Canis lupus familiaris: one gene and its partners. The protein of the gene in region 3 purifies or fractionates together with the protein of the main gene of each other region. This does not show direct contact. Links are inferred from orthologs where the notes say so. Each region holds a gene or a part of one and is shown on either strand. Other genes may lie near its edges.

Region 1 (4,358 bases), on a different chromosome or scaffold from region 3:
ACTGCTTTCACCATACTAAATCAAAGAAGAAAAAGATGTGATCCTATGATAAAGAAAATGTAGATTACTTTGACTTGGATCAGATGTGGAGGGGGAAGCTGAATGCCCACAGAAAACATAATTATATTCTTTTAGTAAAAAGCATAGTATAAAGAAATAATGGAGAATATTGAAAAAAAAAGAATAAAACACTAAAAAGCTTAATGGAAACTCTTTTTTTTTTTTTTTAAAGATTTTATTATTCATTTGAGAGAAAATGAGAGTGAGGGCACGGCCAGAGGGAGAGGGAGAGAAAATCCCAAGCAGACTCCGTGCTGAGTTGTGGAGCCCAATCTCACAAGCCTGAGATCATGACCTGAGCTGAAACCAAGAGTCAGACACTTAACCAACTGAGCCATCCAGGTGCCCTGACTTAGTGGAAACTCTTAGTGATACTTCTTCACTTTCTTAAAATGAACTAAGTTCTTCCTTGGAGAGCTCCCAGTCTTTCTTTTGGGCTGATGAGATACCCCAGAGAAGGTATCTCTGTCTCTTTGGCTGCCAGTCTAAAAGCCAACCCAAGACTAGGTTTGGGTCTCAGTATTAAGTTTGTGAAGTTTCTCTTAATCCCTCTTTTCAGTATGGCTCCCTTTCTCCAACTCCTGCCATGTGCCTGGTGTTCCCCAGTCCAGAGACACTCTGGCTTATTTTTAAAAATAAATTTTGGGGGGAGAGTAATCCTTGGTCTGCCAAGATGGAAGATGGGCAGTCCCCATCTGCTTAGAGTGGGGAAGAAGGCTATGGGATCTGATTCTTACACAGACTTTAAGTAATCCTCCTGTTCTAGTCTCACTTTCACCTCTATTTCCAGGAGTCCCTGACACTGCCAATTCCTGAGCTTTGGGGAGAAGCCATGGTCAAAGGCAGCTGTGTCTGGATGGTTCTGAGGGCTCATAGATGGATTAGCCTTTAGCCATCTGCTTTGTGACAACAGCTGTTCTTTTTGGTTTTATGCTTAAAAAAAAAACAAAACACTCCTCACTGTCCTTTCAGAGAGTATAGAGATAAACACATGTGATCAACCTGCCATCTTTCACAGAAGGCTGCTCTTGAGTATACCTTACAGCAATCTTAAAATTTAAGTACTGTTATTCCATTTCGCCAAAGAGACTCAGAGAAGCTAAGTCATTTGACCAAGATGACCTAGGCCCTACACAATAAAGCTGTAATTTAAATGTTTCAGGTCCACTGTTATTATTCACGTATGAGAGATAAGAAAATAAGGCCTAGAAAGGTTATGTTTTAATAAGATTACAAGGCCCACTTATAATCCAGCATTGCCCTGAGATTTGGGGGTCTCCATGTGTGATTTTTTTTTTTTTTTTTTTTTTTTTTTTTGCCATCGCACTGCTCCCTAGAAGTGCCACTTGATGATCACAGGCTAATGAGAACAGAACAGAGTCTGTTTTACCCTATAAACGGTATGTTCACACCAAGTGAAGCCAAATGAAGGCAGGGTCTAATGTGAGAACAAAGGCTTTCCAGCTGTTTAAAAAGGGGTGGAAGCATGAGGTCATCCCACAGCAAGTGAATCTAGTCCGGCTAAGCTCAAAAGCTAGGCCAGTAACAAACAAGACTTTCATGTTGTAGGTAGCAAGTCCATTTCAGCAAGACACCCAAGAGCGCATTAATGCTCACTTGAATGTCACAGTAACAGTGACTTTGCTTTCATTTACTTTGTTTTGGTTTTTAATGGCTGAATAAGTTATGAGCCTGGTTTACCCTTGTATCATGTGGATATAAATAAGGTATCAGCAGAAATAATTTAGGAAAGCATGGGGATCACGGAGCCTTTTGGCTGCACTACTTTTTTTCTTTTACAGAGTCAGTTTGAAAATTCAGGCTATAATCTAAAGACTGGCCAAAAGAAAGACAAGTCGGCCAGCCTGGGGAGCTCAGCTGGCTGAGTGTGGGACTCTTGATTTCCGCTCAGGTCATGATCTCAGGGTGGAGGGATCCAGCCCTGCCTGCTCAGCAGGGAGTGGGCATGAGATTCTCTCTCCCTCTGCTCCACCAACGCTTGTGCTCAAGCTCTCTAAAATGAATAAATCAATCTTGGGAAAAAAAAAAATGAAAATCACCCTTTTTGGCACGATGTAAGAACAGTCCTACAGGGCCAACTTCTATCTTTGTTTCTTCTAAGTTCACTATCATCAACCCTCCAAACTCTCTGAAATAGGGGTCATTTCCATCCCTGTCTTTTTTTCCTTCAAACTGATAAGCAATGTTGGGGGAGGGGGGAGGAGAAGTTGGCCCTCTTTACTGTGTACATTCCACGGACTTAGCAGTGTGCCACACAAGGAAGATGATCCATATCTGCTGGATGTGTTGAAAAGACAACACCCAAGTGTTACTCCTCTATTACAGGTGCGAAAACCGAGGCTCAGAGACGCTTGACTTGCTCCAGGTCACTAAGATGCAAACTTGAGTCGTCTGACTGCAGAGCCTTCATTTTTAAGACTATCGCCTGGCCATCGTGAGGTCTGGCAACTCTCTCAGGGTTCAAACGTTTGCCGAACTGACGCTGTGACCAGGTGTGGTCGTGGGAAAGGCCTCCTGCCCCTGGCTCTGTTTCCCCAGCGGTAAAATGGGGCTGTGCCCGAGAGCACCTAGGCCTTTGCCGCTCGGAAACACGAGACGAGAAGCGGGAGGGCGTGTCGTGGCTGGTCCTCTCTTGGGCTCTTACCATTTGATGATGTTGTGAACCAAAGGTAAAAAGGAGTAATTCTCCTCCTCCTTCACGCCGGCCGGTGACTGGGGCCTGGTTGCCGGCGACTGCTGCGGCTGAGGCACGGCGACCGGAGGCGGCGGCTGCGAAGGCGGCAGCGGCTTCGTCTCGGGCAGCGACGGCTCGGCCGGCGGCGGTAACGCATCCTCGGCCTGTCGCCCGGCGGCCACCCCGGCGGAGGCCATAGCGCTCGGAACCGCGCCGCTCGGGCAGCAGGACCCCAACGGTCAGCTTCTCAAAAGCGTCGCGGACCTCAGACGTCACCGCTCTGCGCCCGCGGTGGGCGGGCCCTGGAAAAAGGTTGTGCGCGTGCGTACTAGGGTGTGGGCGGGGCAATATCCTGGGGGCGTGGCTGATGTTACTAGGCAACGGGCGATTGACGGATTTGGTTGTAAGTAGAGGCAGCTAGATTATTAAATAGTCAGAAACAGATCCATTTGAGACATAACATTCTTATTCACACGACAAAAAGGGTCCAAAAGCAACTAGTACAGGAAAGCTGAGATGCATGACTCCGCAGGGCCCCGCCCTCGGAGAAGGCCTCCCGACCACCTTGAACCACATGCAGAGTAAACAACTTCCTGCTTTGTGTAAAGCATTGGGCCCTACGGGCATTGAGAATCCAGAGATGGAGGGCCTACACCTCCTACACCTCGCAGATGCCTCCAGGAGGACAGGCAGCAAACCCTGACCCAGCTGAAGTGTGAGACTGTGTTAGCCCAAAGGGGCAGAGACAAAGTAAAGTGAGTCTCTAAAAGCTCCCCAAGCCTAGATAGGGAGGAACTCATAATTCAACATTGCATTTTCTGGATGGCAGATGCAGTATTAAATGTGAAGTAGTGGGTAGGAAGGCTGTCCTGACTTCAAAACAAGGCAGAAGGGGATTGACTAGTGCCAAGAATAAATGCATCCTACAGGAAAGTCCACCTCGGGTATTCTCCATACGGGCAGGCCAGTTCCTTGAGCTCCTAGGTCTGTTTCCTTAACTGTAAAATGCTTACTCCAGGGTCATAGCAAAGCCTAAATTGTTTTCTAACTTCAGGTACATGGCTGACCTCCAAAGGTCTGGTTTGTCCCCAGGATCCTAGGTCAAAAACATGGTGGTGATGTAATTATATTTCTCAAAACAAGTGTGATATGGGGGCTGTATAATAGATTTCTGGGCAATGGGACACCCATCCTAAGCTCAGCTAGTCAGTGGGAGAGGACATGAGCTAGGAAAGCCCCAACCTTTCAAAGTCTACCATCAAGGGTCTTAAAGAGAGGCAAGGAGGCCCATATTCAGGTGGCAAGATGAGCTGGAGCACTTAAGAGCAAGGGGGCTGATTCCAGGGAAAGCATTGACGCTACTATTTTCAGATGCATCAGGAAAGGTTGATGGAGGCAGACCCTAGGGAAGGCAGACTGTAGAAGGAAATAGGAGTTGGAGAGTGTGCTCCAACTCTTTGGAGCACTAAAGGCTCTTTAGTGATGGGCCTTAGCACAGCTTTCTTCAGCAAGAACTGCCTAGAGTACCCCCAGGGGGGAAAGCAGGGAGAAGGAGAGTCTGCAGGGCTTTCTTATTGCTACCCATGGACTTATCCACTTTAGG
Region 2 (4,416 bases), on a different chromosome or scaffold from region 3:
AATGAACCATGTCATTTTTTTTCTTGTTCCATAAGATAGCCTTATACATTTTTTCTGAATTAACCAAAATAAATTCTGTCAAGAGCTAACCTGTAATGGACCATGATCAGAGTGTAAAATCCTTTACTATGCAAATCTGCATCACAGCTTAGAACCATCACTAAAAACTTTGTTCTTTCAAATCGCTTGTATCACGGAACATAAAACTAATCCTACCAACCCACAAGAGATGTGTTTACTGTAAAACCTCAAATCTCAACTAGACCTTTGACCCAAGAAAACCTACCTTTATAATGACTTTTCTTATAACCAATACAGTGATATCAACTAATGCTTTCAGATCCTAAAAGTTTCTTTAAAAAGCGTATTTTGAAGATACACAAACTGATCTTATTCTATTCGAGAAACTTTATTAATTCTGCTCAAACAAATTTCACTCAAGAAGAAAAGTGTAGTCGAATCAAGAACTTTATTAGAGGGGAAAAATATTAAAAAAAAAAAAAGAACAATGAGAAGCAGGAATTAAATTTAGCTGTTTTTTGGTTGTGGCCCATGCTATCAAAAAATACAATTCAAAAGCAGAATCCTCAATTTTTCTCACAAGTTACCTACTGAAAGGAAGCTATTTTTAACAACAAAAATGAAAATACATCTTAGAAATTCCAGATCAAGTGTATCACAACGTAAGCACGAGGAGTATGAAAAACACACAAGGTGGGATTTGTTTTGTAATGCCAGTGTCCAACCAGGAAAACTAGATGTGCTCTTCCCCAAGTATATCTGCTAAGATTCCTTACAGGGACACCAGGAGAACAAGCAGAGCTAATATTCCAGAAGCAAAATACAAGTTAATTATAGTGCCTCACAGTCCAAGATATTAATTCAAGGACGACACCTGGCAAGTAACTGCAAGAACCATGAGTTAAGCTACAACTGAACGCCATGGGGCTCGTCCAGTTCAGAAGGCAAAAGCTAAACGCGGCTCACAATCCTCTCTCCGCACGTGTGCAGCACCTCGTGAGGCCACGACGCTCTAGGGCGAAACGGCGTGTAGGGTCGGGCTCCGCGGGCTCCCCGGGCACCGGCGCGCGGCCCCGCCTGCTCCGCCCTGGCCCCCCCACACCAGCTGCAGCGATGGCAACAGGCAGGTGCGCAGGACGCGACGCAGCGCCGCCAGTCCCACTAACGTCGCCGCGGCCGATCCTCCCTTCACTCAGGGATGTCCCGTTACGAGCCTACAAACTCTCTCCCCCGAGTGGTTTCTGACAGCCTTGGGAACCTAGGCGGGAGGGCTCGAGAGACGTCCCCGGGCTCCCGGCTCCGGGGGAGGAGGATCCCCGCCAGGGTGGGCGGAGGGGAGGCCAAGGGTTCACCCCGACCCTCCTCGCCGCGGGGAGCTGGTGCCTCCGGCCCTGCAGCCCGCGCACGGCTACCCTACAGGACCAAGGACAGGCGCTGTCAATACTTTCTCCAGCTCGCCTTCTCCTAAGACGGCGATCCATGGACGCTTCTAAGAGGTGTTACCACGGGTCGCCCTCAACTCCCCGGGAGAACAAGAGATCCAGGCCCGCCTTCCGTCCTGGCCCATCCAGGTGCTCGGGAGCCCCCAGCGCGCAGTCATTCGGCCAGGGGGGCGCAGGGGAGGACCTCAGGATGCCCCAGATTGGGGTGTGGAGGACCTCAGGATGCCCCAGGTGCGGGTCTGGAGGACCTCAGGATGCCCCCAGGTCGGGGTGCGGAGGACCTCAAGATGCCCCAGGTCGGGGTGCGGAGGACCTCAGGATGCCCCAGGTCCGGGTGGGGAGGACCTCAGGATGCCCCAGGTCGGGGTGCGGAGGACCTCAAGATGCCCCAGGTCGGGGTGCGGAGGACCTCAGGATGCCCCAGGTCCGGGTGGGGAGGACCTCAGGATGCCCCAGGTCGGGGTGCGGAGGACCTCAGGATGCCCCAGGTCGGGGTGCGGAGGACCTCAGGATGCCCAAGGTCGCGGGGGGTGGGGGGTGGGGGGACGAGTTAGGGAACTAGGCGAAGTTCCGCCGGTAAAGCGCGGCGGGTCTCCCGGGAGGTCCCACCTCGGAGGGGAGGCGCGGAATTCACAAGGTGCAAAGGCGGAATCGGCGGGGGGAGGATGGATCCCGAAGTCGGCGGGTGTAGACAGGGGCTGCGCCCAGAGCCGGGAGGCTGCCCGGGCCCCCAGCGCTCGGCCGCGCCGCCGGCTCCCCGGCTGGGTTTCAAACCGCCGCCCCCGGGGAGGCGCTCAGCCGATTGGAAGTTCCGCCACGACCGTCACCGGCCCAGGGCCGGAGCGGCAACTCCTCGACGAAGCTCTCCCGGCGCCCCGCGTGCCCCCCGCCCGCCCCCGAGAGCAGACCCCGCCAACTCCACCTCCGCGGAGGTGCCCCCTCGAGTCCCCGCCGCCAGCCCGGGGCGCGCGGGGGGCGCCCTCGGGGACGGGACCGCCGCCCCCCGACCGGGCTGCGCCGCGGGAGTCCGCGGGGCGCGACGGGGCCGCGCGGGGCGGAGGGTGCAGGGTGGAGGGTGGGGGGGCAGCGCCCGCGCCCCCCAGTCCGCGCCGGGACGCGCGGCCCCGCGCCCCCCGCCGCCTCGCCCCCCGGGAGCGGCCCGCCCCGGCTCCGACCCAGCCGCCCCGCGCGGTCGCGGGCAGGGCGAGGACCCGGGCGAGCCCGCTCCCCCCGCCCCTGCTCTTACCCATCTTTCCGCCTCGCCTTGTAGACGTGCCCGTAGGTGCCGCGTCCCACTTTGCACCCTTCGTACTCAAACAAATCCTCCACCCGCTCCCGCTCCGCCGCCAGCTTCGCCTTGAAATCATAATCCATTGTCTGCTTTCCCCATAGAGGCACCGGGACGCGGGGGCCGCCGCCGCTCAGTCCCTCCTCCTCCTCCTCCCCCCGCGCCCGCCGCTCCACTTCTCCAACAGCCGCCTCTCGGGCGCGCGCGCGCCGCCCGCCGCCCCGCGGTCCGCCTTCAGCAAGGGACTCCTCGGCGGCCGCGGCAGCCACCTCCTCCTCCACCACCACCTCCTCCTCCTCCTCCTCGGCGGCGGCGGCGGCGGCGGCTCCCGCAGGCAGCCCCAGTCCCGCCTCCCCCCTTCATTTCCTTGTTTTGGAACCTGGTGGGCCGCGCCGCGGCTTCCTCGAGCTCATTAACGAACCATCCCGCCCACCCCGAGGTCGCGGGGGCTCCTGGGAAATGTAGTTCCGGAGGGCCCCAACAGCAACCGAGTTTCGCCAGCAGAAGAAATACAACACCCAGGCTGCTTTGGGCCGCCACAGCCCCGCCCCGCGAGGCGGGCACGCCTGCGCACTGCGGCCGCCCCTCCCCCTCAGGTAGCGCCGGACTGCCAGTTCCTGTGAAGGTGGGAAGCTTCAAGTTGCCGAATTCTTTCTGCGAGTCTGTGGGGGAGCGGGTGGAAAAAAGGCCCTTGTTGTGGTGTAGAGGAAGGTACTCCACTATCACTGCCCCCGGGCGAGAGGGAGAGTGGAAAGTACGTAACAAGTGCTCGGCTCAGGAGTTTGCGCCGGCGGTTAGAGAGGCGAGGACTGTGGTTAGAGCAGTTGTGCTGCAAGACGGTTTGTTTTTCGTGGCGATTGGTCCGCTCGTTGCCCCGCCCCCCTCCGCCGCTCATTGGCTGAGACTAGAGAATGACGTCCTCGTCGGTGCGTGGGTATCCCCGGGCTTTGGCTCCTTTCCCGCTCTTGATTGGTAATTGGGTGTGCTCGGTTGTTCTGATAGGTCCATCTTTTTTCTTTACGATGCAAAAACCGTATTTCAAAAGCTGAACCCTCAGCGGTTTCCTAGGGCTGGCGTCGGTCTGCGGAGAACTTCTGAGGCCCGGCAGCCAATCATCCTTTTCCTGGCGCTCGAGTCATGGTCTCCTCCCACCATATGCGGTTCCCACAGCCAAGCTTTGGGCCATCTGTCTAAGGACAATTCAAGTGCCAGGAGGATGCATCGTCTTAAAAGCAGGCATCAGGTTTGCATTGTAAAAGATGTTTGTTTTTTTTTTTTTTTTAAGGTCTGTGCATAATGGTGACGTTCTCCAAGGATGTCTGAGAAAGTGTCCTTAATCAAGGTGAATATGGATTCATTTAATTCCTGCGTCCTTAGGATGCTTGGGATACGATTTTATGCGTGATTGGTGCTAGGATAAGAATAATATACCACATTTAGTGGGAGCACAAAGGAAGAATTGGTCCCCTTTATCTAAAGTGGTAAGGAAAGTTAGTAGTGACACCTCCCCCCCCCCCCCCCGCCCACCTGCTAGGTTTGGGAAGAAACCTGGAAAACTTGGGAGTGGGGGATGGAGATCATTGATTTACTACAAGAGTAAATTTCTTAAGGAACTTTCTCAGATCTTGAAGTCAATCAAACGTATCTGAAAATCTTAGTTTCTCT
Region 3 (3,841 bases):
GTTCTGGCTCTTCCCCAGCTCCTTTGTGCCAGGCCAATCTCAGGGGACTGTCACCTGGTTCGTACCCCTGAGCAGGGGCAGGAGGCCCCAGCCCCGTAGTTGCTGGGTGCCAGAGCCCATCTGCCATCCTGAAGGAGGGAGGAAACGAGGCAGAGGCCTACTGTCCCCATCCCTCAGTCATCCCTGCTGTGTGCCCAGGCCCCTCATGATCTTTTTCCCTCACAGCTGTGACTGTACAAAATTCCTCCTCCAAGAATGTAGCAAGCAGGGGCTTCTGTCCGAAGCCAGTGTGACCAACCTTCTGGCCAAGCGGTAAGCATGAGTTCCCCCCGGCCTGGCTGACGTGCCACTTGCCCCCCTTTCCTCCTGTCCAGGCTGGACTGCTGGGTGCCTCTCCCCTTCCCGTGCAGGTGCCTGGGGCCATGCCTAGGCTTACCAGGAGTGGCAGACACGGGTTTCTGTGCACTAGGCTTCTGCACCCTTGGGTGCTGCACTTGAATTCTCACCCTCTGTGAACACAATAAAAATCCTAAATCTTCCTTTAATCTCAAGTGAACTTTCAGAGTTGAGGTAATGATCAGTGACAAACTGAAGCAGTCACACCAGTGGACATGCATGCATGAACATCACCCCAACCGCAGAGGTTTTTCTATGCTCCCCACCTTCTCTGGGCCTCTGCTTCTGGCGCTGGACCAGGGAGCACATCAGGAACTTCTTTCTTTTCCCTTCTCTTGGCCAATGGCTTATGGCCACAGCGCAGCAGACCGGGAACATGCACCCCAGCTGAAATCAGGAGAAAATGCCAACATCCAGCCCAATCCTGGGCTGATCCTCCGGGCAGAACCCACTGTCACAAATATCCTCAAGGTGAGTATGCCCTTCCCTTGTCTCCAGGGTCATCTCTTCCTGTTTTCCACTTTTGCCTCTGCTTCCAGATAAAGGAAATTGAGGCTGTAGACCTCTTTGTCTTCTGGCTTTTATATGTAGTTACTTTGGAAGTAGAGAAGCAGGCAAGGCAGGGAAGCTGCCAATGAAAACTAGCATTTGTTGGGCACTGCTTGGAAGATAGGCACTGTGGTAGATGCTTCCACCTGCTCCTGCAGAAGCAGTGGGGACTCTCACACACACACACACCCACACCCCTACCGCCATGATCCCAGTTTAGTTGAGAGGAATGGATCAGAGAGCAGATGGATTTGGGGAGTGATTTTCCAGATTGGAGTCAGAAAGATATAGGTTGGATTTCAGGCTGTGGTATGCCACTTGATGGAGACGTGCAGAGCAGGAAGCTCTGGTTGATTAGGCTGTATCTGGTGGTCGTGGGAGGTCTTTGGGTTTTCTTCAGGACTTGATTTCCTGTTGTGTCCCTAGACGATGGATGCAGACCACTCCAAGTCCCCAGAGGGGCTGCTAGGAGTCCTGGGCCACATGCTCTCTGGGAAGAGTCTGGATCTTCTGCTGGCCGCCGCTGCTGCCACTGGGAAGCTTAAATCCTTTGCCCGGAAATTCATCAAGTAAGGAATGGTGAGCCCCTAACCGAGTTGGGAAGGCGTGTCCAAAGGAAGAGGTAGCAGAGTAGGGGCAAGACCCCAGGGTCTAGGTCTCCCTGGAGATGCCTAGGGCAAGCCAGAGCATCCCAGTTGAAGACACTGAGCGAAGGGCCAGGTCTCTGGATGTCAAGTGCTCTTTTCTCTGCTGCTGAGCATGAAGTAGAGGTGTTTGATGAGATGAGAGGCACTAAATGGTGGAGTGAAGGGATTCGGGTGCGCCCAGTTGTTACTAAGGGGCTCTCAAACACTGTTGACTCTTTGGTTGACATGGAATTTGATACATAGAACTTTGTTCCATCCGGTGAGCTGTTCTCTGGGCCTTGGATTTTTTTTTTCTTAAGATTTTTATTTTTAAAGATTTTGTTTGACACAGAGCATGCGTGCACCTGCATAAGCAGGTAGAGGGAGAAGCAGGCTTCCTGTTGAGGGGGTAGCCCAATGCGGGGCTCGATCCTGGGACCATGGGATCATGACCTGCGCTCAAGGCAGATGCTCAACCATTGAACCACCCAGGTGCCCCAAGATTTTTATTTATTTTTATTATTTTTTTTATTTTTAAAGATTTATTTATTCATGAGAAACACACACAGAGAGAGAGGCAGAGACATAGGCAGAGGGAGAAGCAGGCTCCATGCAGGGACCCCAACATGGGACTCGATCCTGGGTCTCCAGGATCACGCCCTGAGCTGAAGACGGCGCTAAACCGCTGAGCCACCGGGCTGCCCAAGATTTTTATTTTTTTTATTTTTTTATTTTTTTTTAATTTTTATTTATTCATGATAGGCACACAGTGAGAGAGAGAGAGGCAGAGACACAGGCAGAGGGAGAAGCAGGCTCCATGCACCGGGAGCCTGACGTGGGATTCGATCCTGGATCTCCAGGATCGCGCCCTGGGCCAAAGGCAGGCGCCAAACCGCTGCGCCACCCAGGGATCCCAAGATTTTTATTTTTAAATGATCTCTACATCTGTTTTGGAACTCAAACTCAAAGCCCTGAGATCAAGAGTTACATGCTCTAATGATCAATCCAGCCAGGCATGCTGCCTTGGAAATCTTTTAAAAACAAAGAGTTCTTTTTGTAGTGGTAGTGTTCATTTTAAGTTTCACCCTTAATTCAGACTTTAGTGACTGCCTTTCTGGACAGGCGTAGCCCCCTGAACCCTTGCCCTGCTTGCTGTGACCTATCTCTGTTCCTCCCCCAGTTTGAATGAATTCACGACACATGGCAATGAAGAACTCGGTAAGTCAGCTCTGTGCCCCCCGGACCCAGCACTGTGGAAGGGTCGGGGGAGAGAACAGGGGAGGACAGAGGGCCCGTTGCTCCTCCTGGGGAGGCTCTTTTCTCCCCTGAGCAATGACTGACTGAAGCTTTTGGGGAGCCTTGAAAGGGGAATGCTGGGCAAAGAATTCTTCCAAAACCACCTCTGTCTATTGCCCTCCCTCTTTATGATTTGGTTGGGTGCTGGGAAGGAGGAGGGTATCAGGAGTCTTGGATTCCAAGGAAGGGATGATGTTCCAATTGAGACTCAAGAAAAGGATTCTGAGCCTCAGAGCTTTGAAGGAGCCACTTGATCACTGACCTTCCTTGAGGCAAATCCTGACCCCCCCCTTCCGATCCAGACGAGGGTTCTGGGCCCTGCTCAAGGCTGTGGAGTCAGGCTTTTTGTTCCCCGTAGCCAAAGCAGCCTCAGTTCGAGCCTTGCTCTTCGACATCTCCTTCCTCATGTTGTGCCACGTGGCCCAGACCTATGGTTCAGAGGTGAGTGAGAGGAGAGCAGTCAAGATTAGGGGCACCAAGTGGGCAGGGAGAGGGGGAAGGAAATGACCAGTAACTTGGCCGCCCCTCCCCACCCCGCAAGCTACTTAGTTCTGCTGGGTGCAGAATGAAGGTGCCCCTGGGCCCATAGACGCCCCCTTTGGTTACTCCGGAATCCTTCAGTGCCACACCCACACCCACCACTAGGTGGCAGCATAGCCCCTGTCTTTCTCCCTGAGACCAGTGCATCTTTAGTTCTTCAGGCTGGAAAGAAGCAGCAGTGGGGCAGGAAACTGAGGCACAGAGCACTGGCTGCTGACCCTCCCTCCCTCCCTTCCTTCCCTAGGTGATTCTGTCCGAGTCAAGCACAGGAGCACAGGTGCCCTTCTTTGAGACGTGGATGCAGACTTGCATGCCCGAAGAGGGCAAAATCCTGAACCCTGACCACCCATGCTTCTGGCCTGACTCTACCAAAGTGGAGTCCTTGGTGGCCTTGCTCAACAACTCCTCGGAGATGAAGCTGGTGTCAGTGGCCG

The links. Proteins that work in one complex are often made in the same cells at the same time.
Region 1: the proteins of MED24 (region 3) and MED9 purify together in Homo sapiens (affinity purification with mass spectrometry; 5 studies listed by BioGRID and IntAct, with this or other methods). This does not show direct contact. The link is inferred for Canis lupus familiaris from reciprocal best matches to the Homo sapiens genes MED24 and MED9.
Region 2: the proteins of MED24 (region 3) and CDK19 purify together in Homo sapiens (affinity purification with mass spectrometry; 6 studies listed by BioGRID and IntAct, counting the BioPlex papers as one, with this or other methods). This does not show direct contact. The link is inferred for Canis lupus familiaris from reciprocal best matches to the Homo sapiens genes MED24 and CDK19.

The regions. Positions count from the first base shown.
Region 1 is NC_049226.1:42,191,863-42,196,220, forward strand, and holds the start of MED9 (mediator of RNA polymerase II transcription subunit 9), read right to left. Parts: upstream 3,022-4,358; 5' UTR 2,953-3,021; coding exon 2,726-2,952; intron 1-2,725.
Region 2 is NC_049233.1:67,738,860-67,743,275, forward strand, and holds the start of CDK19 (cyclin-dependent kinase 19), read right to left. Parts: upstream 3,022-4,416; 5' UTR 2,838-3,021; coding exon 2,710-2,837; intron 2,242-2,709; exon of another isoform or gene 2,073-2,241; intron 1-2,072.
Region 3 is NC_049230.1:22,467,582-22,471,422, forward strand, and holds part of MED24 (mediator of RNA polymerase II transcription subunit 24), read left to right. Parts: intron 1-225; coding exon 226-312; intron 313-755; coding exon 756-867; intron 868-1,371; coding exon 1,372-1,514; intron 1,515-2,751; coding exon 2,752-2,789; intron 2,790-3,040; exon of another isoform or gene 3,041-3,144; intron 3,145-3,225; coding exon 3,226-3,308; intron 3,309-3,651; coding exon 3,652-3,830; intron 3,831-3,841. UniProt on the Homo sapiens protein: Component of the Mediator complex, a coactivator involved in the regulated transcription of nearly all RNA polymerase II-dependent genes.